2 linked regions of the Anolis sagrei genome follow. The protein of the gene in region 2 interacts with the protein of the main gene of each other region in a biochemical or structural test. Links are inferred from orthologs where the notes say so. Each region holds a gene or a part of one and is shown on either strand. Other genes may lie near its edges.

Region 1 (3,920 bases), on a different chromosome or scaffold from region 2:
TATAGCCCGGCACCATCCTCTCAAAGGGACTTGGGGTGGCTTATATAGGACCAGGACCAGTCAACAACATTAAAATATAGCACAATAAAATACATTACATTACAATAAATTAAAACAAAAACCATACAAGACATCATACAGATATAAATCATCAACAACCAATAACAACCAGTAGCCAAGCACAATGGGTGTGTTCAGAGCTATGAGGGCAGGGGAAGGGCTTGTGCAATACACCTGCAATGGTAGAGCTGGTTGTAAAGTGCAAAAGCCAGATAATTAAATTAGGGCTAGAAGGGCCACGTCAACTGACAAACTGATTAATCAAAGGCACATTGGAACATTTAAGTTTTCATGTCTTTACGGAAGGTGGACAGGGTGGATGATAATCTAATTTCCCTGAGGAGAGAGTTCCAGAGCTGGGGGGCCACCACTGAGAAAGCCTGTTCCCTCATCCCCACCAACTGTGCTTGTGACTGAGGTGGGAGTGAGAGAAGGGCCTTCCCAGCAGATTTTAAAGCTTGCACAGGATCATAGGGGAAGATGTGATCGCAAAGATAGGCTGGACCTGAACCATTTAGGGCTTTGTAGGTGATAATCTGCACCTTGAATTGGGACTAGAGACTTACCGGCAGCCAGTGGAGCTGTTTTAATAAGGGATTGTCCACTCCCTATAATTCGCTCCAGTTAGGAACCTAAGTTCACTCCAGATAGAAATGTAAATAATAATGCACAGATATTCAAATAATTATGGTGCAAATTATAATTGGATGACTTTTTTTCTTCACAGTACCAAGACTTCATATCTTAAAGACAATTGGGGGGAGGGGGGGGGCTGCAGCAAAGAAACAGGACCAGTATCTTTGCAACAGTCCTATGGCTTCTCAATCTATTTGAAAGATCCGTTATTTTCCCTCCTCTATTAAGGCCTGTGCAAATCAGCATCCATATCAACAGATCTCCTAATTCCTCACCAGGACACTCTGCCATATCCTGAAATCTACCAGCAATAAAACCACATGGTAGAGATTGTGGAGGAATAATGCTCCATGCCAAGCCCAAAATGTTTTGCTGCCTGAGGCAGAGCAGCGAATGGTTGTTGCTTGTTGCTGTTATGTGCCTTCAAAACGACTCTGAGGTCTTCTACACAACCTTATATCCCAGAATATCAAGGCAGAAAATCCCATAACATCAGCTTTGAACTGGGTTATCTGAGTCCACACTGCCATATATCCCAGTTCAAAGCAGATGTGGGATTTTATTTAGCTATGTGGAAGGGGCCTCTGATTTATGGCACCCAATTCTAGAATTATCTTGGTGAAATTTACTGCCATACTCTGCAGCTGAAAGAGTACGTTTTCTAATGGCTTTTGGTGTCGGAGTGAGGGTTCAGTAGTCAAAACCACAAAATTTTGGAAAGAAGAATTAGATACTGCAACAAACTCAGACTTGGATTTGGTTTTAACTGGTGTGACTAATTTACTGTTTTAATGAAGTGTTTTAATATTTTAATATATTTGTTTATTATTTAAATGATGATAGCATAGTAGGGTGCTTATGTGGGGCCGCCCTGAGTCCCCTCTTGGGAGGAGAAGGGCGGGGTAAAAGTATACGAAATAAATAATAACATGTCCCCAAATAAAAAGGTATGGCGCACTACGCAAATAAAATACACAGGAAGTAAATACTTTCACTGACACTTCACTAATAGATACATTAAAAAATGAAATGGCATGGCCCAATTCCTGGAAGCCCTGGCTTATCAACACGCACCGATTGCGCTCAAACATGAAGTGCCAAGAAATGATGCTCCCTTTCCAGGAAGCCTGCTTCCTTTTCATCAAGTGTACCTTTGCCTCTCTTTGTGATGAAAACAGAAATGCAACGGGCCTTTGCAACGTTTCCTTCCTCATTGGTTCACTTCTACCCAGGGTGCATCATTTAACACTGTGGAACTAACGCAGTTTGACACCACTTTAGCTTGCAAGGCTCAATGCTGGGAGTTGTAGTTTTGCAAGGTGTTCTACCAAAGAGGACTGATGCCTTAACAAACGACATATTCCACGATTGCATGGCACTGAAGCCATTAAAAGTGGTGTCAATGCAGTGTAGATCAGGCATGGGCCAATTTCGGCCCTCCCTCCAGGTGTTTTGGACTTCAACTCCCACAATTCCTAACAGCCTCGGGCCCTTTCCTCCCCCCACCCAGCCGCTTAAGCGGCTGGGTGGGGGGAGGAAAGGGCCCGAGGCTGTTAGGAATTGTGGGAGTTGAAGTCCAAAACACCTGGAGAGAGGGCCGAAATTGGCCCATCCCTGGAGTAGATTCCATACGCTGAGCCATGACCCACCCCACCCTCCAAAGATACGGAGTCACTTGCTCGCCCCTTTCCCAGCCCCAAGGCAAAGCGGAACCAAAGCCGAGGCGGAACGGATGACGCGGGGGTTGGAGATCGGGGGGGAGGACGGCGTGCGGGGCACTCACTCACCTGGGGACGCGGTGCCCACTCCCAGCGCCAAGAGGACCACCAGCACGGCGCGCGCCCCTGCCATAGCTCAACCAGCAAGTACCGCGGGGCGGCCTCCAGGGGGCGCGCTTGAGGCAGAGTCCGCAGCAGCGTGGAGCCGCCCATAGGAAAAAAAATGCACCGCCTTCCTTTTTCCCCCCGTAGAGGCACGCAGAGGAGAGTCACACATACAGTGCTGTGATTGCGAGTCAAGCATAATGAGTCAGGGTTCATACAATGTATTGTCGAAGGCTTTCATGGCCGGAATCACTGGGTTGTTGTAGGTTTTCCGGACTATATGGCCATGTTCTAGAGGCATTTTCTCCTGACGTTTCGCCTGCATCTATGGCAAGCATCCTCAGAGGTAGTGAGATCTGTTGGAAGTAGAAAAAATGGGTTTATATATCTAGATGCAGGCGAAATGTCAGGAGAAAATGCCTCTAGAACATGGTCATATAGCCCTGAAAAACCAACAACAACCCAGGGTTCATACAGTTTGACACCCCTTTAACTGACATAGAATCATCCTGGGCCATCCAGTCCAACCTCCTGCCAAGAAGCGGGAAAGTCTCACTCAAAGCACCCCAGACAGATGGCCATCCAGTCTCTGTTTAAAAGCCTCCAAAGAATGAGCCTCCACTACACTCCCGGGCAGAGAGTTCCACTGCTGAACAGCTCTCCCAGTTAGGAAGTTCTTCCTAATGTTCAAGTAGAGTTTCCTTTCCTGTAGTTTGAAGCCTTTGTTCCTCGTCCCAGTCTCCAGGGCAGCAGAAAACAAGCTTACTCCCTCCTCCCTATGACTTCCCCTCACATATTCATATATGGACCTTATCATGTCTCCTCTCAGCCTTCTCTTTTGAATGCTAAACATGCCCAACTCTTTAAGCCGCTCCTCATAGGGCTTGTTCTCCAGACCCTTGATAAGGCTTTTGGCAGTCGCAAAGACCCTCTCTGTTGCACAGAGCGTGTTTCAGTCAGGTCCAATGCAGAAGACACAATAACATTGCACCCAGGCAAAAGGAAAAAAAAATACTCTTACCAGCAGTTAAAACATAAACTTGCAATGTTGCAAACAGTGCAACAAACTTACTTAGTCCTTGTAAGCAATACAGAATAAGGCTTCTTTATATTGATCCAAACGAGAGAGCAGTAGAAATGGCTGAGCAAAATGCCTGAGCAAAGGCTTCTCAGAGCAAAAACTGGTCTGTATTCCAAAACCCATATAGTTATACCCCACCAAGTGTGGTCCAAATTTACCAGTTGACCTACATTAGCAGCTGCACATAATAATCAACAGTATCAGGTTCTATTTAACACACACACACATACTTGATCCTGTTACAACTTACTGTAATACTCCCCACCAATTCACGAGCAAAACACGGGACTGTGGCTCACAGTTCACACATTTCTGCATGT
Region 2 (3,920 bases):
TTTGTGGCTGCCACAAAAATGAAGTTTCTAGAGTATAACAACTACTTTCAAAGCAAGTACTGTACAATTAAACAAGAAATAACACTTTCAAACCAGGAACAGATGTTTTTTTCAAATTTTGTTACATAGTTTTATTGTTTCATTCTTATTTATAAGCAGGAAATGCTCAGACACATCTACGCTAGCCATTTAATGCTGCTTCAAACCAGTATTGAAAAAAATGGTTTTGCTGTATAGATCAGGCCTGGGCAAACTTCAGCCTTCCAGGTATTTTGGACTTCAATTTTTAGGAATTGTGGGAGTTGAAGTCCAAAACACCAGGTGGGCCGATGTTTTCCATACCTGGTGTAGATGATTACACAGAAAATCCTGAAACCAGATGGCGGCCAAGATGGTAATTACACAAATCACAGAGTAATGATGCATATTAAGAACTTTCTTTCACACACCATGTTGTATGGTTTCTGGGCTGTATGACCGTGTTTTAGCAGCATTTTCTCCTGATGTTTTGCCTACATCTGTGGTTGGCATCTTCAAAGGATCACACACTTTTGTAGGAGTTTATCTGGCTGCTAGAGTTTGAAGTTAGCTTTGAACTGCATTAAATGGGCTATGTAGATGTGACCTCAGTAACCCTCATTCATGGGAATTGCTAGATACTGGAAATATTATCATTTCTGGTTGCTTGAGAGTTACTATTAAAAATAAGCCTTACTAATGTTATGCCCATAATACACCACACCATAGATTCTGCATTGACTTGATATTAATATTGAAATACAGTAATTAAAAGCAAATTGAGTCCAATTAAAACAAATTTAATGTAACAGTTTTACTGTGTTACAAAAACAGCTTTGTGGATGCTGTATTCTTTTTCTATTCTTTTTTGCTCCTTAGTAGACTAGTGGTTGCTTCAGTTTCAGTTAACTGAGGCCCCTTCTACACAGCTGTATAAAATCCAAATTATCTGCTTTGAATTTGTAGTGTAAACTCAGATAACCCGGTTCAAATCAGATCATGTGGATTATCTGCCTTGATATTCTGGATTATCTGGCAGTGTAGAAGGGTTCCTGTGAGTTTTCTGGGCTGTATGGCCATGTTACAGAAGCCTTCTCTCCTGACATTTCACCCACATCTATGGCAGGCATCCTCAGAGGTTGTGAGGTGTGTTGGAAACTAGGAAAATCGGGTTTATATATCTTGGAATGTCCAGGGTGGGAGAAATAACTCCTGTCTGCAAGAGATACATGTGAATGTTGCAATTGGCCATCTTGATTAGCATTTAATAGCCTTGCAGCTTCAAAGCTTGACTGCTTCCTGCCTGGAGGCATCCTTTGTTGGGAGGTGTTAGCTGGCCCTGATTGTAGAAGGGCCCTGAGAGTCTACTGTATTTTGAAATTGGATAACAATTTTAGTAAGGAGACACTGCTGATTACATTTTTATGGCTTTGTACGGTTTTTATATTATATCTTAAATGCTTTAATTTTATAATTGTTTTAACTGTATCTTTACAATTGTTGAGGCACTGAATTGTTGCCAGCTGTGAACCGTCTTGAGTCACCTCCGGGCTGAGAAAGGTGGTATACAAATGTGGTAAATAAATAAATTTTATGGATGCTGTGTTTGGATTTCAACTCCCAGAAATCCCAGCCATCTTACTGGCTTTGCATCTCATTGCCTTCCAAGCTGCCCAGTCTTCTGTGTGCCCGGGGTGGAGTCTCTCATTCATGGCTTGAAGTTCTGGGTTTTTGCCTGCCACTCCTGGACTCTTGCTTGCTGAGGTGTTCCTGCGAGTATCTCTGATCTTAGAAAACTAATTCTTGATTTTGACTCAGATTATCCAGTTCAAAGCAGATCATGTGAATAATATGCCTTGGTATTCTGGATTATCTGGCAGTGGAGAAGGGCCCTGAGAGTCTACTGTATTTTGAAAGAGGCCCTGAAGTTGTCTCCAAAAGATTGAACTACAACTCCCAGGATTCCATTGATTGAGCCATGGCAGTTAAAACAGTATCTTTACCAGCTGTTTGGAATTCTGGGAGTTGAAGTCCAAAACATGTGGAGGGCCGAAGTTTGCTCATGTCTGATGCTTTAAGGGGTTGTTTGATCTTTCCTTGAGCTCCCTTAAGTTATGTAAGCATTCCTCCGAGATGTTTGCGACTTTGGATGATGCAAACACCTCATCCAGATCCCTATGTCTCACTCCAGTAGGAGCCAGCAGACCTCCCCGCCCACCCGCGCCAAGCCCACCTTGCGCGCGCACCCACCTGGACCGCTCTCTGCAGGGCCGGCGCGCTCCCTTCCTTCGAAGTCTATGGAGCGAAAACAGAAGCAGGAAAGCGAATGCCCCGCCCACTCTCCTCCCGATTGGTCAAGGCGCCGGAGCCCCGCCCAGGCGCGGAGGGAGTAGCGCCCGGGAAGGGAAGAGCCGGCTCTGGCGGCTGTAGATTTCGATTTCCCAGGAATGACGTCAGCGCCGTGGGCGGAGCCTGGCTTGACCCATGACTATTCAAATCCTGGGCAGGTTTGGAAAGGGTTGGCAGTGTTTATGCCCCGTTTAATGCAGTTTGAAGCTCTATTCTATGCTCAGTGTAGATTCCTGTACAGCATTTCAACTCCTTTTTTTTTGGAGTTTCCCTCCACAGTTTTCAAAACCCAAACTCTACTGGGTTGCTGTGAGTTATTCAGGGCTGTATGGCCATGTTCCAGAAGCATTCTCTCCTGACGTTTCGCCCACAGGCATCCTCAGAGGTTGGAAACTAGGCAAATGAGGTGTATATATCTGTGGAATAATGTCCAGAGTGGGAGAAAGAACTCTTGTTTGCTTGAGGCAAGTGTGAATGTTGAAATTGGCCACCTTGATTAGCATTGAAGGCCCTTGCAGCTTCAAAGCCTGGCTGATTGCTGCCTGGGGGTGATTTTGATGTCAAACATGAGATTTAAGGGGGGGGGGTCCTACTGAGGCAAGGCCCAGCCAGACCCACCAAAGAGGGCCCAAACACTTGGCGAGACAAGAATACCCAAATAGAATTTTTCACTATTTTTCCCAAATAAATCTCACTAAGTTGAAGAAGAAGCCACCGAGTTGTTTATTTCATTCCAGCTGGAGTGGATGTCAAACTGCAATCATTCACCAAAGTCGACATAACTCACAAGGGGAAATATTACAGTTTTTATGGGAAATACAGAGCTGTCAAATTCAAATTTCTCACTCCCACCCCCCTTGCTGGCTTCTCACTGATTGGCTGGAGTCATCAGCTGGCTGGGAGGTGTGGCTGGCTTAGCTGCGCCTTGTCCAATCATAGAGCCAGCGCCGCTTCGGCCTCTTGGCCAATGGGAAGAGAGGAGGCAGGCCAGGTGGGAAACAATGAATGAAGAGGAAAGGTGATAAGATTAAAATTATTAACGATTGTCTAAGCGGTCAGTGATTGCCTTCTTTAGCCCTCAAGCTGGCCAGGCTATTGTTTTGATGCTCTGGAAGATACATTTTCATCTGGCTCAGAGACCAGATCTTTTGTTGTCCTTCCATCCGGGATAAGAGTCCATTGATGGGATTTATGACTGGTATCAGCCAGCTGGGTCCTCACAATGAAAAAGAGGCAGTGGGGAGCCTGGATCCTCCACAGATAGGACAGCACCCTTTGTGTTGGTGGATCAAGATGGTCTTATCTCCAGATGGACTAGCCTTTTGCCCTCTGAGATCTGGTTGATAAGAACCATTTGTTTTATTGTCCATGCAAATGGGTTTTGATCGAGTCCTTTGTGTTGGAACAAACCGGCCCAGGATTTTGAGAAATGCTTCCTGGAGCCATGGGGTGCTGGATTCTTGAAAAGGGTGGCTCTCTTCTATTTTTGAAAAATATAGACATATACACACATATAATGGTATGGGAAGGGAACATACAAGGAGTTTATGGGG

Evidence for each region.
Region 1: the proteins of STAT2 (region 2) and IFNAR1 form a complex in vitro, tested with the Homo sapiens proteins (2 studies listed by BioGRID). The link is inferred for Anolis sagrei from reciprocal best matches to the Homo sapiens genes STAT2 and IFNAR1.

Annotation. Positions count from the first base shown.
Region 1 is NC_090023.1:69,799,432-69,803,351, reverse strand, and holds the start of IFNAR1 (interferon alpha/beta receptor 1), read right to left. Parts: upstream 2,610-3,920; 5' UTR 2,548-2,609; coding exon 2,484-2,547; intron 1-2,483. UniProt on the Homo sapiens protein: Together with IFNAR2, forms the heterodimeric receptor for type I interferons (including interferons alpha, beta, epsilon, omega and kappa).
Region 2 is NC_090022.1:138,707,254-138,711,173, forward strand, and holds the start of STAT2 (signal transducer and activator of transcription 2), read right to left. Parts: upstream 2,367-3,920; 5' UTR 2,269-2,366; intron 1-2,268. UniProt on the Homo sapiens protein: Signal transducer and activator of transcription that mediates signaling by type I interferons (IFN-alpha and IFN-beta).